Linked DNA regions of Bombyx mori. The protein of the gene in region 1 interacts with the protein of each later gene in a pairwise test. Links are inferred from orthologs where the notes say so. Each region holds a gene or a part of one and is shown in the gene's direction. Other genes may lie near its edges. The genes, in order: CD2-associated protein and Jnk.

Region 1 (11,928 bases):
CATGTGAAACTATCGCCATGATGATTCAACTTTGGAACTTGTATTTGTAAAGCATGTCATATGTCTGCATAGCTTATTATAAATTCAGGACAGGTATTTATACTTGACAGAGCCAACAGATATTATTTTAGTTAAATACTACATTCTAAGCATTATCTAGAAAGACAATTGTCAATATCAAATGTAGAACTTATTAAAACAGTTGTCTATTGACACCATTAAAAAATTGCAATAAAAATGCACGTTTTTTCAATTGCTTATTGCTTAGATGGGTGCACAAGCACACGATCATCCTAGTGTTAAGAAGTTATATGGGCCTATACTCATCTACAATGTAAATGCCGCCACCCAGCTTGAGATATGAGTTCTAAGGTCTCAGTTTTTACAATACAATGGCTGCCCCACTCTTCAAACCGAAAAGCATTACTGCTTCACGGTATAAATAGGGAGGTTGATGATACCTACCTGTGTGCACTTGCAAGATGTCCTACCACCTTTGTGGGTTTGATTTTTATTATACAATATTATTCCTTCACCGTGGGAGTCAATCGTGATTATTTGCTAAGTTAAGACTGTGGTTTGTTATTATTCACTTGATATACAATGTAGTTGAAAAGCTTAGGCACTGGTAATTTTTAGCCCCGCTAAAAAAAATATTAGATTTGGTATGTATTCAACTCTGAGCCAATGGGATATTACAAAATGAGCTCAGAGTTGAATGCTGACTGAACTCATGTGGAATGGTTTGTTTAGAAATTTGCCAAGATGTCATAGTCTAAAGGTAGGTCAAAGGGCAAAAATTAATTATTTTTCGTTAGATGTGACATATTTTTACGTATGGGGATTTAGTGAGACCGGTGTATGAGTGGTCTCTAGGAGGCATAAGGAGTGAACAAAATGGGTACATTTATTTCTGCCACCATAATAAAGGCACTGTGTTCCACATTGTGTTTTATAATAATTTAGACATTATTTTATAGCAAATATGTAAACAAAGAAACATCTGTCAAGGTAACATTTCACATATTTGAAAGTGTAACTGTATTTTCTTCTTGATCAATTTTTCACTCATTCAATGTCATTGGTGCCGGTAATGACTTTCTGGACTTGCTTTCTCTAGGTACAGGAGCACTCGACTTTTTTCACAGAAATTGATTTTTGTTATTTGTTAATCAAATGTAAATAGTATGTAATGTAATGTAATAAGGCAATTCTTATAGTACATGAAATCTCACACCATTGGCCCTGGTTTTGATGGATTTAAACACAATACAAGTGTCTTGTTTTAAAAGCACATACACAGTTTGACATGAAATTTTGCTCATATTTCTGAGCAGGGGAACTTCAAAGTACTGCCTACATCTATTTGGCTTCATAAGAAAAGCTCTTTCGAATTGAGGATAAGGCATGACACACGCCGCATTTTACCCCTGTGAATAAACTGGTGGTAGGACCTCTTGTGAGTCCGCACGGGTAGGTACCACCGCCCTGCCTATTTCTGCCGTGAAGCAGTAATGCGTTTCGGTTTAAAGGGTGGGGCAGCCGCTGTAACTATACTGAGACCTTACAACTTATATCTCAAGGTGGGTGGCGCATTTACGTTGTAGATGTCTATGGGCTCCAGTAACCACTTAACAACAGGTGGGCTGTGAGCTCGTCCACACACCTAAGCTATAAAAAAAAAAAAAAAAAAAAAAAACTTTGCGTTGGGTAGAGGAAAACAACTGCCGGTAATGGTTGTCATTTTTTTGCCCTCAAAATGTCATTGCTGGTAATTTTCATAACTGTCTCTTTTGAATTTGATTTTACATATATATTATTAGTTTACTGATGGAAAGAAGGCAAGCGAACCTGCACAGATGGGTATCATTTAAAATTCAAGACAGCGACAGCTTAAGGCTTAGACCACATTCCTTATGATGGGTGGTGGCATTCGCGTTGTGATATCTATTGGTCCAGTAATCGATTAACAATAGCTGGACCGTGAGTGTGTGTACTCGTCGTCTATGAATAAAATCAGTAATCTTTGACGTCAGGCGTTAACCATCGGCAGTTTCGTTGATGTGCTAGAGCCCTTAGTCAAATAAGAGTTAAATGTAGCGTGTAGTTTTATGTCGCATTTAATCACAATTCATTGCATTGCTACTTATCGCTTTGTGTAAGTAAGCGTACTTAGGGCAAAAGACAAGATGTGTAAAAATAATAATGAAACATTTGATGTCTTTCGCAGTGTCTTGCACCGTTAACTTCGCGTATGATGCATCAGAAGCGGACGAGCTGACGATCAGACCGGGGGACGTGATACGCGACGTTGAGAGATTGCCCGGGGGCTGGTGGCGAGGCGAGTTACGTGGAAACCGCGGCATGTTCCCGGACAACTTCGTTTCTCTTCTAAACGAACATGCTACTACGAGGTTAGTTGACTTTTAAACATAAGAAGCAGTTTTAACGATCGTTGATTTAGAACAGTAAAAATGTATGTTAAACATTTTTCTAAGCGTTTTGATATACGGCGAAAGCATTTTGGAAGGAAAATTTCAAGACATTAATGTATATTTATGATAACTATCATACACTATGTTAAAGTTCAATTATGTTAATGAGGTTTGTAAAGCATAGATAAACTAAACAGCTAAGATGTCTTTAAAGTTTTGACACATATTGTAATCTGCTCCAGGCTTTGAACACCCATGAAACTGGTTTGGATTCCGACACAATATAAAAAAAAACGTGTGTCGGATGTTTCTAGTTCACTGACACACATATTAAGTTTTGTAATTGTTTGAACTGGTCGCTATGATTTTTACGAATGTAATCTTTTTATTTGACACATTTTTGAAATATTTTGTAGCGTTCAAGTTTGTCTCTTAGAATAAATAGCTAATATAGCGGATAATAGTAGTAACTGGCCATTTCGAAATTATATAGTTTGTTTTAGCGCCAATATTTTTTGTGCTCAACAAGTTTGCACCAGACTGTTTTTTAATTGGCATCGTATGCCTTTCTTCTTCTTTCTGATAATACCATTAATTTTATTTCAAATATGATTATATACGAAACTCAAACTATGGAACGCTTCTAACATTAAAAACAATAATAAAGATGAGGCACGATCGACATAAAACCTCGTATTTTATGGATTTTCTGTTCCGCCGGATGCTAAGCGAATAATCAATAGAATAAATATCACTTCGTCATATTAAATTTCAATTGTTCATTTATTTTACCTATCGGAAAACCCAGGAATAACATAAAATAATAGGTTGGGGAAAAAGTCTTTCGCATTATACTATGTATGAACTTGTAATAAAATCTCTTTGGCTATACTATTTGTATCTGGCTGGTTTTGGTATCATTAAAAGCTTAAATTTTAAAGAAGATAATTTCAAATTCAAATTAAGAAAAGATGTGATTCTAATTTATTTATCGTACTGTCAAGATGAGTGAATCTAATGAAGAAATTCGATACATTTTAAAATTTGACTACAAAAAAGGTAAACATGCAACGCAAGCCGCGAAAAAAATTGCGATGTTTATGGACTTAGTGCAGTGTCTGTGAGAGTAGCACAAATTGTTTTCAATCCGGAAATTTTGATGTCAAAGATGCACGTCACTCTGGTCGCCCTGTTACGGATAAAATGGATGCCATTTTTGAAAAAGTGGAGCAAAATGGGTTTATCAGTAGTTACGACGTAGCTGAAGAACTGGGAATTGACAACAAAACAGTTTTGGCGCATTTGAAAAAACTGGGTACACAAAAAAATCGATATCTGGGTATCTCACGAGCTCACTGAAAGAAACCTAATGAACCGTGTACTCATTTGTGATTCTTTATTACGACGTAATGAAACCGAACCATTTTTGAAGAAGCTGATAACTGGTGATGAAAAGTGGATCACGTACGACAAGAACGTGCGAAAAGGTCGTGGTCAAAGGCCGGTCAAGCTTCACAGACTGGGGAAACCCGGGTTAAATCGCAACGAGGGGATGCTATGTGTGTGGTGGGATTGGAAGGGTATTAATCATTATGAGCTGTTACCACCAGGCAGGACTATCGATTCTGAACTCTACTGCGAACAACTGATGAGATTAAATAAAGAAGTTGAAAGCGGCTGGAATTAATCAACAGAAGCGGTGTGGTTTTTCATCATGATAACGCTAGGCCTCACACATCTTTAGCCACTCAGCAAAAATTAAGAGAGCTTGGCTGGGAGGTCTTAATGCATTCGCTGTATAGTCCTGACCTTGCACCTTCAGATTTCCACCTGTTTCAGTCTCTTCAGAATTATTTACGCAGTATCAGGTTAACATCACGAGATAACTGCCAAAACCAATTGTCGCGGTATTTTGATCAGAAGCCCCAAAATTTCTATAGCAATGGGATCATGTCCCTACCTACAAGATGGCAAAAAGCTATCGAACAAAATGGTACCTACATACTTTAGTTAAATGTAAATAAACTATATTAAAAAATGTTGTGAATTTTCTTAAAAAATGCGAAGAAACTTTTTCCACAACCTAATATTATGACAAATTAGTAATACAATACTAAAATAAAAAGGGTTTAATACTAAAATTATAATTCATAGCAAATAGAAAAAAATACAATGTAGTTAAAATTAAAAATTGGAATTTATAATAAAATTAACCTGAAAATTCAGGTTTTGCTGAATATGTCAACATAATTTGGCTTATAAATTCTATTCAGACTGATCTTTTCGTCGTATTTTTTCGTGAATCTGTGGTAATTATTGTTGTCAAATAGCACAGAACGCTGGACGTATCTTCTCGGGATCCTCCAAAAAGTCCACTGAAAAAATATCAATGGTGGTCATTTACCATTTTACTGAGATTAAATTTCATCCCATATCATCTCATCTCATTTCATTTAATTTCATCCCAGTTGATTTATGTCTCAAATTAATCATCTTCATTTCATTTCATTTCACTCCATATTACATATTATTTTTCATAAAAATAAGAATATAAATTAAAATAAGACATGATCTAAAGGTCTTAGTTACCAGGTCATAAAATCCCTTAAAAAATAATCAAATAGCACAAATAGCATGCACATGCGCTTTACGACGTCACTGTCATTAAAATGCGGACGAGCGAGAGAAACAGCGAGACGTTCATTAAACTACGCACCCATCATTAAAGTGGAGGCGTACTTTTCTTATCAATTAATTAATGTAACTAATTTCGATGCCTTTAACAGAATAATATGTAGTATTTAATCGTTTTCAATTTAAATAACAATTTTATCATTTTTGTACATGATATAAAACAATGAAAGTAATAAAAAAAATAGACATCAGAATCATCCATAAACATAGTAGACACGTAATGTTTCGACACGAAAACACGATATGTCATGAGAAACGAGCTTGATCATGTCTTCGATAGTTGAAACGGGACCGCGTAACTTATTATAAACAGCATAATATTATTATTAAATTGAAATTTCTGTTGACATCCGGTTTCGTGGTCGAAAGCAACGGCCCCACTCGGCGAAAGTCGCTCAGCTGCCGTATGCAACAGGTTGAATTTCAAATTATGAATATTATTTGAAACAGATTTCCGTTTAAAATTTTTTTTTTTTTGATTACTTACTGGAATAATAATGGTTATACGCACTATCTAATCAGTCCGGATAAGACGATAACACGCGTTGCTCGCTTTACTTTGTGTTTGTGTGACCCTTAGTAAATACATACTGTGTTATACTACAGTGTAAAACGTGTCATATGGTTTGGAAGAAAATAGTAAAAACACGCGGCTCCTTCAGATTCTGGAGGTAAGAGTATTTTCTATTGAACAAAAATATGAATTAAAGATACAATGGTTGTCATCTTGAATATTTTTAGGGATGATAGGATCGCGGTTTGCGCAGAAACCTTGCTGTTTAGCCAAGAAGGATGATGTTGAAACTCTTTGATCAAAAATGATCGCATTTTTAATTGTAAATGTGAATGAACATTTAATTCTTGATTCAATAACTGAGTAGATTGCTTTAATTGTTTGATTATATTGATAGTGATATATTAAATTAGTATTCGCACATATCATTATATCTCCAAAATTTTGGGGCTTATGTTAAACAATAATAATTAATAATTCTGAAATGAAATGCTCCAGTGAATTGTAAAGTTAATAAATAAAAATAATGTACTTGTTAATATGAGCTATCGTCTTATCTGGAGTTAGTCAGTTCAGTACATAAATATGTGCGTTATAAAAATATTCATAATTAATTATGGAACAAAACAATTGAAAATATTTTGTACAAATAATTAATAATAATTTTTTGAAATTACTATAAAACGAGAAACGACAGGCATGTTAGAAAAAAAAGTATATGAATATCTTATTGGTATAACTAGAATACGCCCCATTCAAAGCCCAAATGGGTAGATATATCGTCTTTCATATTTTTATTTGAAAGCATTTTTTCAATTTTAGGATGGACAGTTGTTACTCTAAACTAGTCTAAACCAATTAAGAAATCACATTCTTATGGCTCAGTGTGAGGAATTACGTTTACATTATTATATAACTAGCTGACCCGGCAGACTTCGTAGTGTCATAATCGATAAATAAAAGAACTAAACTTTTGCACAAAATAAACTTAAAACAAACAAAAGGAACGCGTCCGACGGGGGACACATCAAAGGAAAAACAAAATTGTTATTTTGATTTAATTCCGAGCATTTTCATATTTGTTTAACTTTTAAACCTTCTCTGGACTTCCACAAATAATTCAAGACCAAAATTAGCCAAATCGGTACAGCCGTTCCTGAGTTTTAGCGAGACTAACGAACAGCAATTCATTTTTATATATTATATAGATTACATTTAACATATTTATTACATTTAATATAATTATATTAATTACATTTAATTACATTTACATTACAGGAGGAAACTACATATTATTATTATATGTATGCTAATAAAAATTCAATTGACACTTTAAAAGTTAAAATGCGCAGATGTTATCTGAAGCGAAATGTCATAGTTTCCGATTAAAAAAAAATTGTGTCATTTACAGTTAACAAGAACACAATCGCGCAAAAGTAACGACCATTATGACGCACCGAAGCGTTTCAATTTACTTACATTTGTAATTCATTAAATTTCTATAAATTAAATCGAAACATTAATTTCTTGTGACTTTCGCTATCGTCATCTCGAATCAAGAAGATAAGTACGCTAATGTGCATCCTAAAGTCTTATTAAAGCCAAGTGAATTTTCAAACTCATTGGTTTCATGACGAGATCTTTCTTGAACTTTACCTAACTTTACCTGTAATAAAAATCAGACCCGCAAAATTATAATTTGCGTAATTACTGGTGGTAGGACCTCTTGTGAGTCCGCACGGGTAGGTACCACCGCCCCACCTATTTCTGTCGTGAAGCAGTAATGCGTTTCGGTTTGAAGGATGGGGCAGCCGTTGTAACTATACTGATAACTCAAGATGGCTGGCGCATTTACGTTGTAGATGTCTATGGGCTCCAGTAACCACTTAACACCAGGTGGGCTGTGAGCTCGTCCACCCATTTAAGCAATAAAAAAAACCTGTCAGGTTTTCCTTCGCTCAGGCAGAGTAGTCTGCACGGCAAACAAGTGTGCCAACAGTAATCGGTTTGACGGCCCAAATATCCATTCCTAAAGACTTTGTCTTCCAAATGCGTTCGATGTGAGCATTGTTTTATCTTAACTGGGCCAGCGTCGTTTTATGTCGCAAATATTGACCTGATTAACCAAATTACGATTTAAACTTTTTATTTTAAACATTTTCTTTAAGATCCAGTAGATCTTGTGTAGCACTTATTCGTTCCGCGACAAGGAGTTTGAATGTTTATTTGAATACTACTGTTTAAACTTAGATCTGCGCAGGAACGAATGAATGATAATGCATTTATTATAGTTAGTTTAGTCGATGTGTGAGTAAGAAATGAAAACGACATAAAAGCCAGTGTGTTAAAGTTGCATCATCGGCGTCATCGGGTTTTCTAAAAGTGTCTCTTACAAAAGGCAACTTTTTAGATATTTGTCGATGTTCAACTTCCTTAAGAATTTCAACGCATAATTAACTATCCGATGATGATAAGGTGCTTGAATTTTTCGACGTAACATAAATCATTTTTGAAGGGTGGGCCAACCGTTGTACTGTAAAAACTGAGACCTAAGATTTTTGAAGGGTGGGCCAACCGTTGTACTGTAAAAACTGAGACCTAAGAACTCATATCTCAAGGTAGGTAGCGGCATTTGCGCTGATGTATATATATAGGCTCTGGTAACCAGTTAACACCAGGTTGGTCATGAGCTCGTTCGTCCATACACCTAAGTAACAAAAAAAAAACAAAACGTAACTAAATATTTTTGGGTGGTGGCAATATATCTTTTGTACGTAATTCAAGTTGTCCGTTTCTGTTAGATCAACGGGCGTGCAAGGGCGGTGTCGGGCTCTGTACAGCTATCAACCAGTCAATCCGGATGAATTGGAACTCTGCGTCGGCGACGTGCTTGAAGTTCTAGGAGAGGTATGGACTATATACAATTTTACATAACAAACTATACGGAATTACTGACTGAATTAATTCAGTTGTTAAAAAGTATTTTTCAAATCATTTCCGATTTAATTTTTATCATTATCACCTACGTTGAGAGCTCAAGATTTTTGCTTTCGAAAGGTAGCTGTAAAAAAGTGATGCTGGAAGGGCGTCCTGTGAGTCCGCAGGGTATGCTACGGTGCACCCTCGAGGCCCTGGTGCCCGTGCTGGAGGCATGGTCGGATCGGCGTCACGGCGTACTCTCCTTTCACCTTGCGCAGGTCCTCTCGGGACATGGCTGTTTCGGGAGGTACCTGTGGAAGGTCTGCAGGAGAGAGCCACATCCGGGCTGCCACCAGTGCGGGCACCCGGACGATGACGCGCAGCACGCGCTCGAAACGTGCCCGCGTTGGGAGCACTCGCGGCGAGATCTCGTCGCGGTGCTGGGGAGAAACCTCTCCCTGCGGGCTGTCGTCGCCCGCATGTTAGAGGATCAGGGCTCGTGGGAGGCCATGGCCAGGTTTTGTGACCTGGTAATGGCGTCCCGTGAGGCTGAGGAGCGTGAAAGGGAGTGGGATCCCTCTTCAGCACCTCAGCGCAGAAGGCGGGATGGCCGGCGCGGGCGTGAAGCTCCCGCTCAGCCCCCGTAGGGACTGTCAGGTGGCGGGTGCGGGGGCGCCCGGTACTCGACTGTCGGTCCGGTGGTGGGGCGGTGCAAGGTGGCTCCTGTGCGCCGCTCACGGTGTATCTCCCGAAATGACGTCCTTCGGGATTTTCCCGGAGATGAAATCCCGTCTTATCATCAGGACGGGTACCGGCGAAGGCGGACTTTCGGCGCGCACTGCGGTACCGTAGGTCTGGTGTAGCCGGTGTGGTGGAGCTCGATGGGGTTTAGTCGGTAGTCGTTCTGCGGGGCAAGTGCTTCGCGCGCCTTTTTCAAGGCGTAGTCTCTTGCGAGGGATTCGGGGAGGTGGAGGACCTTCTCGTCCCCCTCTTCCTCTCAGGAGGCGCCGGAGTCCGACATAACCCGGTTCGTTACCCCCCGGACCGGGTATCCGTAAATGGATTCCCCAGCGTTAAAAAAAAAAAAAAAAAAGGGTATGCTACGGTCACCCTGCTTTTTCCGCCGCGAAATAGTATTGTGTTCCGGTTTCGAAGGTAGGCCTTACAATTGAGGCTTAGACCTTGTGTATCAAGGTGATTGGTGGCATTTGCAGAGTAATGTCTATGGGCTTCGTAATATCATCAAAAAATATATCAAAAAATAACATCAGGTGGACCATGAGCTCGTTCACCTGTACATTCAAATGGTGATCTTACGTACCAACGGATTATGAGTGGTGAATGCCAGGGATAAAGCCAAACCACTGCCTATGAGTACCATGTTCAATATGGGTGTTCGCATGACTGTGTGTCTGTCATTCAGGTAGAGGAGGGCTGGTGGCAAGGTCGACGCCAGGGTCGCGTGGGTGTGTTTCCGTCTAACTTTGTTGTGATGCTCGACCCACCGCAGCCGGCACCCTTCGAACTCGCTCCAGCGCTCCCACCGAAGCCAGGTAAGTTGACGCAATCACATTTTTGAATCTACTCTTTCATCGTACGTCTTATTGCGTAGTATATCTAAGGAGCATTCCATTTGCTGATCAAATACACATAAATAAAAATGACGTAAGGTGTCCGACACCGGTTTAAACGATGCACATAACGTATTGAGGGCCATACAATGGTGTAAATCACGCGAAACTAGTACGTAAGAACAGTAACGTAAGCGCTCTTCCCGCCTGTACATGTGTCGCTCATGACAATGACCTTACATTTCACTTTCGGAACATTCGGAACAGCGTTCAATACTTGAAAATTGTTTTTGATCTATGATTATTTATGGTTACGGCGTCTCGGAGTACAGTGCTTTTGAGATATCAATTGTTTTTGGTGTTTAAATTAAATATTAATTCGAATATGTTTTGAATATGATGTTTTGAATGAAACAGTAAGTCGGTATAATTCAGCATTATTAATGTATTAATTAAACACGTGTGAGTTCTTATTGAAGCTTTAACACTAAACTTACCGACAGTTCTTGTATTCTATCGCGCTTGGTTAAATTGACTGGTTATTAAAAAAGTATTCGATTTTATTTATTGTATTTTCATGATTGTGTTTATATGTAAAAGAAAAAATAATAATTTGAAGTGTAGTTTTATATGTATGCTCTAAGAATTCTCTTATATTTTGATAACGGTATTTCAGCATTTAAATCTATATATTAATACGTGAAGCAAAAACTTTGTATCCCTTTTTACGAAAATTGCGCGGACGGAGGAGTATGAAATTTTCCACACTTACAGAGAATATAGAGAAGAAGTGCACAATGCTAATATTTTTTTTAAATAATGCATAAAAGATACATTAAATCAATAAAGAAAACATTACACACACTATAGACCGTGTATTTGACGCACACACGCATGCATACTATTTATTGTCAAACTTTTGTTTTTGGCGTCTGTTGTCAAATTGAGAATAGATTAAATATTGCCTTTGTTAATTTTTTTTATAGTGTAGTCTTGGCGAAATTTGTGATTATAGAAGTATAAAATACAATCATAATAGTGTATAAACTTACAATCCCAATTAATTATAGTCGAATTTCGACTACTGCGGGACCTCTAGTATATATATAAATATAACAAAAGTTGCAAAAGTGCATTTGACCGGTAGTGGTAGGTTTAGTGTTAAATAATTATTTTGAAACAACGGTAGAAGGTACATATATATACTATACACATTGTATAAAGAAGAGTCGCGTTCAATGAAGTGCAATAATAAAATTGAATTGTTAACGTTGAATCACTTATGTTCTTGATTTAATTCAATCTCCTTTCATTGAGCGCATGAAGCGAGCTAACTCACAAATTAATTGAATCAATCAGAAAGCTCTGGGCCTCTTTATCCTTTACTTTTATTTGTTTAGGAAACAAACAATACAATACGTTCACACAATATAGATTATAGGTACTTATAACAAAAAAATCACATACTAGTTTTCACTATTAACAATGCGCCTGAGCAATTTGGTGAACATTATATAAAATAACTATCGTCTACGATAAAAAAAAATAAAAAATTCTTAAATGGGTGGACGAGCTCATAGCCCACTTGGTGTTAAGTGGTTACTGGAACCCATAAACATCTACGACGTAAATGCGCCACCCACCTACTATTTTTTTTTTCAATGTTTGCTTAAGTAGATAGACTAGCTAATATCCCACCTGGTGTTAAATGGTTACCGGAGTTCATCAGTAATGTAAACACTGCCATCTACTTTGAGACACCAATTCTAAGTCTCAGTTCTATAGTGTACCACGA
Region 2 (11,621 bases), on another chromosome or scaffold:
CCAGTTTCAATTCGACAGTAGGTACAAAGTTTTGAAACCAGCGTACAAAGTTACCAACGGTTTTGCATAATTTTTTTATATTGCATAGATGGGTCGAAGAACTCACAGCCCACCTTGTGTTAAATGGATACCGGAACCCATATACATCTACAACGTAAAAGCCACCACCCACCTTGAGACATAAGGTATCAATATAGTTACAATGGCTGGCCCACCCTTCAAACCGAAACGCATTACTGCTTTCCGGCAGAAATAGGCAGGGTGGTGGTACCTACCCGTGCGGACTCACAAGAGATCATACCACCAGTTTATTATACTCTAGCTTTTATACAAACATTTTGCAAACAACTATAGGATTACAGTTTCATGATTTGCACTTAACATTTTACAAATACATTTTAAGTAACAACGTGATAATTTGTCTTAGTTTTGTTTAAATAATGTAACTAGGAATCACAGCAAAGATCTCGAGTTTCATAAGAAATATTTAAAGAATAACATATTACGGTTAGTAGATTCTTAAGTTGGTAACAGCGTCTCTAGCTGTTACCACGCGCGTCCGGCCACTTTTAGTTGCTATAACATATCCTCAACTTGTATCCCAATAAAACTATCCCATCCCCCCAACTACTAGGCAGTGGCTTGGCTCTGCCCCCGGCATTGCTGAAGGCTATGGGCGACGGTAACCACTCACAATCGGGTGGGCCATGTGCTCGTCTGCCTACAAGGGCATTAAAAAAAATACCCGCTACTTTTCAAAGTTCTTATCCCAATTTCCTCCTGTAAAGTGGTAGGAAGTATGCCTACAAGGGCATTAAAAAAAACCTCTACTTTTCAAAGTTCTTATCCCATTTCCTCCTCTAAAGTGGTAGGGAGTATGCCTACAAGGGCATTAAAAAAAAACCTCTACTTTTCAAAGTTCTTATCCCAATTTCCTCCTCTAAAGTGGTAGGGAGTATTGTCGACCGGCACGGACATGATGGCGTCATCTCCGTCTTACCTATCTCTATCGCGTGCGTTCTATTTTGTAATGAGATTCTTTAAATCGAATTATAAACAACGGTGGGTTGTATAATCACTTCATTCTTTAGTAGCATGCATGCAATGTAATAAGTTTAAGAATAGGCAAATTCTTATGTGTATTTTACTTAATAATTCGCAATTTTTATACAGCACGCTATCACTCTTGCACGATCCAGCACGATACATATTCACAATCTGGCATTTTGTTTTAAAATATTCACATTATTAGATTTTCGATAGAGTTTAATGATAGTTTTTTTTTTATAAATATTAGTTTTATCTACATTATGAAGGGGCATGATTTTACGTACTATATATTTGTGTATTTATTATTTGTATTGTTTCATCCAAAAATGTTGACAGCTCTCTCTATTCTCTATGGTCTTTTGTAAACACTTAAGACCAGATGGTTCGAGAGTTCTTTCATTCGTCTATGCTGTGCCATTGAGAACTTGCAATTTAATTGTGAACAACAAACATAAAACGTTAATAATTAAAGACCCGAAGCTATCATTACACACCAACATTACGCTTAGAAATCAAATATCTTTAAAAAGGGGTGCTAATTCTGAAAAAGAAGCAACAACATCCATAATCATTCAGCCAGAACACTGTCACACACGCGCATGAAGAAAATAAACATGCAATTTCTTTTGTAGCTGATCGAGTATAATAGCGGTAAGATGATACAGTATTACTCAGTGACGGTCGGTGATGCGGTGTTTACTATCCCGACCCGGTACACTGAGCTGGTGGTCAGAGGCGCGGGCGCCCAGGGCATGGTGTGGTAAGCCGCGCCAATACAATGGTCAATCAAACTCCCGCTTCAAGCTTTTGGGACTAATCTGTACTAATTTAAAATTCCCGCGTTAACCAAGCGATGTCCGTATGTGAAACTTTTGCGTGCAACGGATTTATTTTTGTATTTTTGTGATTTTATTGGTATTAAAATGTTGTTCTTAAGAAATTCGATGGTGGACGAAATTCACGATTGGTGTCCATTGTTTCGGTTTATTGGATGGCTGATTAATAATGTTGAAAAAGGATCGTTCTGGAATAAAGCTAACGAGTGAGTGTGATGTTTAATTCCCGCTCTTGTCACTTTTTTCAAAATGGCCGTTTTCTGTTTTTGATTTTTTTTGATTGACATACGAGTTTTCAGTATTGCACATTTATCATCTGTATCATAAATAGTATTAAAACATCGTTTTGATTTTTATGTATTGAACAGGTAAATTTTTGGTACTACATACTTTCGTCATTACATTAATATGCATGGCTTTATCTTAATAATTTTCAAACTGCGTTTTTTTTAATAGCCGGTTTTTTAATAGGTTTATTTATAAATATTGTATTTATTATTATTAATAAGTTTATTACTCTAATTCTTTATGTTCATGTGTGTGTATAAACAGGTAAATTATTCACTAAAAAACCATAAACAATTCTTAACTCATTACGGCGGCAATTAAAATAAACTATTGGTATTTGATTTTTCGTTTAAATGAACTTTACCACAACCTTTTTCACTCCGCTCCACGCTGAAGAAGAAACTGAATTTATAATATGAAATGATTGCTCATCGATTTCTAAGTGTTAATAAAAAATTAATAAAATTTAAAGCTAAACTGTTTGATTTTGTATTCCAGTGCCGCATACGACACGGTGACGCAACAGAATGTTGCCATAAAGAAGTTGTCGCGTCCGTTTCAGAACGTGACGCACGCGAAAAGAGCTTACAGGGAGTTCAAACTTATGAAACTTGTCAACCATAAAAATGTAAGCTTGGTTATTTTTTATTTGCCTAAAAAGGTGGTCGGCAACCCGCGGCCCTTTGATACAACAGCTATGACTCTTTCGCGAAATATTTAGTGTAGGCACAAAATATTGCTTACTATCTTGCCTTGTAAAGAGTAAAATTTTTTTAAACAAAAGGCTATAGAAATATATCGAGGGGTGAAAGAACATTTGGTTTTAGCGAAATTTCGCTTAATACGCGAAATTTATTTTCGTAATTAAAGGTGCTTTTTATTTGGTATTAACGTTGATTATTATTATTGTTCGACGTTTTAATTGAACTTCAATTAAGTTTACTCCATTCAAAGAGTTGAAGAAGTTTTTTTTTCGTAATATATTTTTCAAAATGATAACCTTTTAATGGCTCTCTTGTAAAGTTCAAAAAATTTCGCTTAAACCAAATAACCCTTCACCCCTCGATAATATGTTCTAAAAAATGGCACCTTAAATAAAATCCAATTACGTGCTATCTATATTTGGCTTCTGCTTGTCGACCCCTGGCCTAAGAGATTCTTGTCAACGACTTGACAATGCAGCCGGCATTTAAATTGCAGTTCTTCCATGGCAATAAAGGAATTGCTAGCATGACAATAGAGGTTCAGTATTTAAATTTAATGATGTGCCGTTGTTTGTAGATAATCGGATTGCTAAACGCGTTCACGCCGCAGAAAAGCCTCGAGGAATTCCAAGACGTGTATCTGGTTATGGAGCTGATGGACGCTAATCTGTGCCAAGTCAGTCCTGTATAATTAATTAATTTATTTATTTGTTTATTTATTAGGCTCACAATACATGTCACAAGCTAAAAAGATACATAAAAGACATAAGTAAAACGATAGTAAGTAAGTAAAATTATACGATAAAACAACACGATAACGAAAACTAATCTAACTTATAATGTAAGGATATAATTTTATTCACAATATACAAATAAACAATCATGTTTTTAATAAACTAAAATAACGTTTATAAAGAACCATTTCAAAATATTTTCCATTGTATGCATTGATTTACAAATGTAATTTTTTTTTTTGTTTTTTTTTTTTAAATGTCCTACTTTTTTTGAGAAATATTTTGGCTATTTTTGTAAATTGTATTGAAACAAGTTCGGCACTAAAAGCGTTAAAATGCTAATTGCAGGTGATTCAGATGGATCTGGATCACGAACGGATGAGCTATCTGCTGTACCAGATGCTGTGCGGCATCAAACACTTGCACCTCGCCGGAATCATTCATCGGGTTCGTATTTTAAGGGAAAAAAATACCTTTTGGCTGGCAACACTCAGTCTCAGGATTTTCGAACATTAACAAAGATATCTTAAAAACGTGTTCTTAGATATATATTTTTTGAGAGTGTTTTACGGCTCTGGATGCGAATCCTTATGAGCCCATGTGTTCTTAGAAAATTAACAAAGTTGCTCACCTAAAATGCCTATCTACCATGTTAGTAGCTTTTTATAAAGTTAAATAAAGTTAAGTTTTATAAAGTTTTTATAAGTTACTACACTTTCGAAGCTATTAACTATTTATACTAAATTAAAAATGCATATTTAAAATAAAACATAAAATATAAACAAGACAAACAAACAAGAGTATCGTTTACTGAACTGTGACGTCGCTGAAATAAAACTAGAGCAATTTTTTTATCATTCTACTTTGTAATGTCATTTGATTGATACTACAGAAACATTTTTTTTTTTTTCAATGGTAATTTTTAACCATTATAACTTACAGTAGGTACGCCTATAAAACGAATTATCGTAAATATGTAATTGTTTGACATAATTTATTGTAAATAATTCATAATAAAGCTATTTTTACTAACGAGCCAATGAAATCGAGTATTTCAAGTTAATATTGGATTCGTTTCGCGATCAGGATCTGAAGCCGTCCAACATAGTGGTGAAGAGCGACTGCACGCTGAAGATCCTGGACTTCGGGCTGGCTCGCACCGCCGGGACCACCTTCATGATGACGCCCTACGTCGTCACGCGCTACTACCGCGCGCCGGAGGTGGGACCATACACACCTCGCTTCACTCTAACACCAAAACATTTATTCATCATCATCATTCTTCTGCCCTTCTGAGAGAGAGAGAGAGAGAGAGATAGAGAGAGAGGGGGAGAGGGAGAGAGAGGGGGAGATGGAGAGAGAGGGGGAGATGGAGAGATAGATAGAGAGAGAGAGAGAGAGAGAGTAATTCACATTAAATTTTAAAAACTAGGCTACACACAATTTTTCATTGGTGGTTACTGGAGCCCATAGACATCTACAACGTAAATGCGCCACCCACCTTGAGATATAAGTTCTAACGTCTCAGTATAGTTACAACGGCTGCCCCACCCTTCAAACCGAAACGCATTACTGCTTAACGGCAGAAATAGGCGAAGTGGTGGTACCTACCCGTGCGGACTCACAATACGTCCTACCACCAGTAATTATGCAAATTATAATTTTGCGGGTTTGATTTTTATTACACGATGTTATTCCTTCACCGTGGAAGTCAATCGTGAACATTTGTTGAGTACGTATTTCATTAGAAAAGTTGGTACCCGCCAGCGGGATTCGAACATCGTTGCATCGCTCAACACGAACGCACCGGACGTCTTATCCCTTAGGCGACGACTACAAGGATATAACAATATAACTATGGAACCCTAAAAGCTTTATTGTCGGCGCGTTTCAGGTGATCTTGGGTATGGGCTACACCGAGAACGTGGACATCTGGTCCGTGGGCTGCATCATGGGGGAGATGATCCGCGGCGGCGTGCTGTTCCCCGGCACCGACCACATCGACCAGTGGAACAAGATCATCGGTACGGTGACGCTGGTCTCTTATAACTAATGCACAGGTTCCCTGATTGCTTTTGAACGATTTGCCTTTCATCACCATCGTCGTCTCAGCCTGTCCACTATCCACTTCTGAATATAGGTCCCTTCAATTGATGTCCAGTCCGGTCGGTCTGTTGCTACTGAAGTGGCAGTAGGCAGGCCATATATCAGACGGAGGTTAGGATATAAAGAGATTCCCTTTGATTAGAGGGAGACAAAGAGATTTCCTTTTAGATGAGAATAATTCCAACACACCGCAGCTTAAAATAATAATAAAAAAATGTGTTTTGTAAACTAACTATCTATAATAATTTTCACTGAAAATTGAAGGTAGTTTCTCGCATCATACGAAAACGTCGGGTATTCCCCCCGTGCGTCATCTGATTCTAAACTGTATTACATTGCGTGTTAAAATATTAGTCAAATATAACACTTGAGTCGTTCGTTTGGTTGTAATTTTAAAACAGTAACAGGTTTATCAAGAAAAGCTGAACAATGATCCTATCTTCAACGTAATCATACAAACTTACCAGAGATATATTAGTTTGAAAGCGTATACTCGTATAGCGTAAGCGTATGCTTCTTCTGTGTGCTTAGTGAGAGTTTTTTAACGTTCTCGATAGCGTAAAAGTTAGCTCATATTTGTATGAAATGGGATCGTTTGCGTACGTTTGCCGCTAGGGGCGCTGTTCCAATTGCATACAAAATTAGGTTAACTTTTACGCTATCGAAAACGTTAAGAAACTCACACTAAGCACACTGTCTATAAGGGCAATAAAAAAAATCTAATCAAATCAATACTGTGCCTTGTTCCGGCCTCTCCCGCTGGTAGCTGACCGTCTCTGACATGGGCACGCCTCTGTAATAACAGTTGTTATTGTACACCAGAGCAACTGGGCACGCCGTCGGCCGCGTTCATGTCCCGGCTGCAGCCCACGGTCCGCAACTACGTCGAGAACAGACCGCGCTACTCCGGGTACAGCTTCGAGCGGCTCTTCCCGGACATACTGTTCCCCAGCGACAGCAACGAGCACAACCGACTCAAGGTAACGCCGCGCCGGTCCGACTGCGCCGTGACGTCACCGATGTCGACGCCGTACTGACGAGCTCCCCCTTCCCCCCTCCCCCAGGCGTCGCAGGCCCGCGACCTGTTGTCGCGCATGCTGGTCATCGACCCCGAGCGCCGCATCTCAGTGGACGACGCCCTGCTGCATCCCTACATCAACGTGTGGTACGACGAGGTAGAGGTCAACGCGGTGAGTACCACACTCTGACACTGACATTGACTCTGACCCTGACACTGACACTGGCCACGCACTGCGCCGGCCCGTAGCAGCCACGCTCTCTGGAAACGTCCGCACGAGTATGTACCACAGTCTTGCCTATTTCTACCGCGTTCCTGTTTGAAGGGCGGGACATCCTTCCATTAGATGTCCGTGGGATCCTAACTGTCAAGAACTTGATACCAAGTGAGTCGGTGTGCCCGACTTGGAAGTAGGAGGGTCTGAGGTAGCCAAGCTCAGATGCATGTGTATTTTCAAACTATTTTGGTATTAGCATAAGGCAATAAAACAATGAAAAACTGAGCGGTGTTTTTGTTCAGCCCGCACCGGCCTCATACGACCACTCGGTGGACGAACGCGAGCACACCGTGGAGCAGTGGAAGCAGCTCATCTACCAGGAGGTGGTCGAGTACTCCGCGCCGCCCCACCCCCCGCCCCCGCACCCCCCGCCCGCCGACCACGCGCAGCCCGCACTCACCACGTAGGCACCGCCCCCTCCCTCACGTAGCCAGGAAGGAACACTACTCACCCTCTGCGCATAGGGTATTATACACTCAAAATCTATAACCCTATGTGAAAACGATGTGAATTTATAAACCGTAACACAAAATAGAGTGGTACCTTGTATGAATAACCCGTGATTGTTTTTGGAGATACTATTTGACACAATCTCATAAGGATCCTTCGAGAAAGTCTGGAATTAAAAATCGGGAAAAATATGCCTTTTGTAGAATTGGTCGAAGTTAAAGAAATTCCGAGGGGATCCCTCGAGGACATACGTTCCTGGCTGCGCTGGGTCACAGTCGACTCCCCCCCCAGCGTCCCCCGCGTCCCCCCGCTTGTTGTTTCAAATCCGTTATCGCCCCGTTACGTAGTTTCTTCCCGTTCTTATGACGTATTATATTCATAGCATAAGTTTTATTATTTAGTGTGAAGGCTACAATGCGCTTTTTATCGTTTTTCAAAAGCTCTGTTTGTCCCCCTCCCTCCCCCTCCCTCTCCGTCACAGTTGAGTTCTCGTTCGTAATTACCACTCGAGTAATAATTTCCACTGCGGAGTGCCTTTAGCGAACCCGACGCGGCGACGACTTCAGCTTTTGTCCACTATATTTTCATACGTTTGGATATTTTTGTAATGACAACAATTTTGATAAGCTGTGAAAAATAAATGTTATATATATATTTATGGATCTTAATGCTATGCAATTGTTTATTTGAATTGATTTATTTTAAATATAAAGTACGTAATGATGTAAACTAGCTGTACGAAGTTAATGATACGGAAAGTTGAGCTTATTCTGTGTTGTTATCGAATGTAATTGAAAATTTTATTTTTATTTCTTAAATTTTTATTTTATTGTATAATTATAATTAACGTGCAATCATTATTAGTTGTTTAATGCGTTCGATATTAAGTTTATCGACTATAACTGTTGCATATCTCACCTTAAAATTCCGAAATCGATGATGAAATTAAAAAAAAAACGTTTCCCGCGTTTACCATAGAAGTGTAAATCGAGGCCATAGACAAAGGCGAGTGAGGCCGTGCGTATGTAAAACATTATTTTCTTGGTCGCGTACATACATCTTGATAGTTGGGATTTTGTGATGTTAATAGTTCTTCGGTAATTAGAGATTAGTTAGGTTGTTGATATCGTATTCACTGCGACTAGCGTAAGTACATTTTTACCTAAGTAGTTACTTATAGGAAGCCTCACACACGTCACCCTTGGATGTAGAACGGAACTGGAAACAGAGATACGTAAAACACATGAGAAAAAAAAACAGTAATATAAAATTACATACATAACGGAACTTAATTACCGTTATAAGAATAATAATAGTTTCACCAAAAAATTTGTAGCTTCATATTTGAAATCGATAAAAGTTATCTTATTTCATCATTACATCATAAATATTTATAATGAGTAAAGACAATTTAGAAGTTTCTTCAAACATTACATTACATAAACTTCTAACGCTAAATTAGTTGATAATAAACGGAAATATAACGATAAATTACTTGGCAACATTTATCTATATACACATATTTATGTATGCCTTTTATCGGAACATACAGAGCATTTAATTACTAATAAAATATTACATACGAACGCAATCCGTCTCTGTAGAATATCCAGTTGATTTGCGTGTTTAGATGGAAGACATTCGTTTAGTAATGAATGTGTGAGGTACACCGTAGTTTATCGTTTGAAACCTCATTAGGTGATATAATAAGTTTTAAGTGATAGTGATGGACGATTGTCGTGATAATATTCATGGTGTAGCACAATTTGTAGTGGATACTAATCTGGTGATGGCGTTATGGCGCCATTATGACAACAGCAATAATGATATGTGCATTCGTACGCGCGTGTGTATGTGTGTGCACGCGTCACTTCTCTACGAAACATCTATTAAACCGATTCGCTCTACTTTTGTTCTCATTTGTATTTTATAAGACTAATGTCATTCGTAACTTGTGTATGTCATAATGATTGTTGCAATTGAATGGAACAAAAGCAAAGTGAACTGTTTCTATACCTATGTATAAATACGTTTTATCTTAAATTAATATAAATAAATAATATTGACAAGTGTACGTCCAAATTGTCCATGTATTAGTTAATGTACCTAATACAATATTACATTAATGTAATCATTAGCGATATTCTAGTACATTTCGTGAAGGTATCGCCGTGCTGCGACGTGTCAGCGTCCGAAGCGACCCACTTAACAATTGGATTGATATCTGAAAATACTTATTTTTACTGTACACGTAAGTTATTTCATATTTTAACTGAATAAATCGAAATGGTTATTATAGTTGTATGTTTTATTTATTTAATACCCTTCAAAATCCATGTCAACCTTCAGTGACTTTAGAAACAATTCTTGTTGATTCACCATCGTTAAAATAGTCCTACTTCCAAGATACTGTCTCATGAATGAATGAATAAACTGAACATGGCGCTAATCAGAACTGGCTATCTTAGTAAAAAAACCTGCCAGACTGTTATTAAGTGGATATCTAACTTTTTTGTGTAACTTGTCGAAAGGCAAGCAATTGCTTAAATTCCAACAGAACAAAGAAACATCAAACGGGAACGCTTGACTGTTTTGCGGCAGAAAAAAACCAGATTATGGATATCTATTCTAATTTATTTTTCAATTCACAGTTTATAGACGGTTGATAAATGAATATTAATATTCTCTAAATCTAAGAAAATCCTAAAATTAAATGAACCAAATAATACAAACCAGTTTTTCATTTTGTTACAATATTGCCGAAAAATAATATACATACATATATCTTTTTATTTTGAGTACTTTAATTAAGATAAATAAATAAGAAAAATGATTTCTGTTTTGAATGTAAATGCATAAAAGGAAATTTAATATCTAGGTAATATTTTTTTCGTAAGACAGTGCGGGATAAGCGTTTACATTTGTTTAAAGATAAAGGTATTGAAAGTAGAGATATTGAAACCAGCTACTTAGTTAGTTTTGTTAACTAACTGTACAGCTGTTTGATGAACGAAATAAATAAGAAAAAAGGAATTCATTATATATTTTTTGAAGTAAAACTTCTTTAGGCGCGTTGAGAGTGAAATTTAACTCGCGACAGATTCGTTACGGCTAGAGAGAAAAGATACAATTTAGGAAGAGCGAGAGTAAGAAAATAGGTAGGGCGTCTTGTGAACCACTCAACCGTGGAGAGAGGGAAAGGGCAAAGCGAGTTAGGTCGTTTTTTAATTTAGTGACATCTATTGGATTTCGTTTAACTACTACATTGCAAGACCATCGGTGTGAACAGTTTAGTTTCTAAATTATTTACAGAAGGCGGTATTTTAAATAAAAGTAATTATCACTAAACATATTATTATTGTAAAACCAAAGGACTCGTTCGGTAATCATCGAATACTGGTAACAACTTCTTTCTAAGTTAATCTTATTTCTCGAGATAAATTGAAGTTTCACTTCTTTCACGTGCACCAAGTTTTATACGCGCACCAGTTTTTTGTTTGTTTCCAAGTTCTGACAACAACCATAGAGAGATATACTTTTAAATGTGTTCTGAAATGAAGATGTCAATGGCTCAGAATGGCTGACACTGACAGTTTGAATTGACTTGACAATCGTCATCAAACAACATAGATCTGTCACAATCACAGCACAAGTGTTGTTTTTATAGCATTGTTACCAAAATAAAGTATGCCAATACTATGACTAAGAAAAAGATTTTTAAACAAATCAGAAATAATTCGGTCTAAAATTAAAATAACAAATAAAACTACAAGATGTCAGAGAAAGACAAATCCAAATCGGGTGGTCAAGCTAAGCACATTCCCAAAGATGCCCAAGTCATCATGTCCATCATGAAGGAAGTAGGTATCACTGACTATGAACCGAGAGTCGTGAACCAGCTCCTAGAATTCACATACCGCTACGTTACATCAGTATTAGATGATGCAAGGATATTTGCAAACCACGCAAAAAAGAAAACTATAGATCTTGATGATGTGAGACTGTCAGCTCAAATGCAATTGGACAAGTCCTTCACGAATCCCCCGCCCCGTGAAGTGCTACTGGAGATCGCGAGGGTCAAGAATGTTAATCCTTTGCCGTTGATAAAGCCGCATTGCGGGTTAAGACTGCCTCCGGATCGGTAAGTATTGGAAAATG

The links.
Region 2: the proteins of CD2-associated protein (region 1) and Jnk interact in a two-hybrid assay, tested with the Drosophila melanogaster proteins (2 studies listed by BioGRID). The link is inferred for Bombyx mori from reciprocal best matches to the Drosophila melanogaster genes cindr and bsk.

The regions. Positions count from the first base shown.
Region 1 is NC_085115.1:10,596,871-10,608,798, forward strand, and holds part of CD2-associated protein, read left to right. Parts: intron 1-2,230; coding exon 2,231-2,414; intron 2,415-5,318; exon of another isoform or gene 5,319-5,750; coding exon of another isoform or gene 5,751-5,800; intron 5,801-8,444; coding exon 8,445-8,550; intron 8,551-9,985; coding exon 9,986-10,115; intron 10,116-11,928.
Region 2 is NC_085109.1:1,359,115-1,370,735, reverse strand, and holds the end of Jnk (c-Jun NH2-terminal kinase), read left to right. Parts: intron 1-1,682; coding exon of another isoform or gene 1,683-1,810; intron 1,811-2,672; coding exon 2,673-2,802; intron 2,803-3,455; coding exon 3,456-3,554; intron 3,555-3,960; coding exon 3,961-4,059; intron 4,060-4,698; coding exon 4,699-4,833; intron 4,834-5,506; coding exon 5,507-5,636; intron 5,637-6,540; coding exon 6,541-6,698; intron 6,699-6,782; coding exon 6,783-6,908; intron 6,909-7,255; coding exon 7,256-7,420; 3' UTR 7,421-9,761; downstream 9,762-11,621. Other genes in the region: transcription initiation factor TFIID subunit 9, read left to right, coding at 11,237-11,604. UniProt on the Drosophila melanogaster protein: Mitogen-activated protein kinase and key component of the c-Jun N-terminal kinase (JNK) pathway which phosphorylate and activate transcription factors involved in a wide range of biological processes including response to various stresses, cellular proliferation, differentiation and migration, and regulation of cell shape.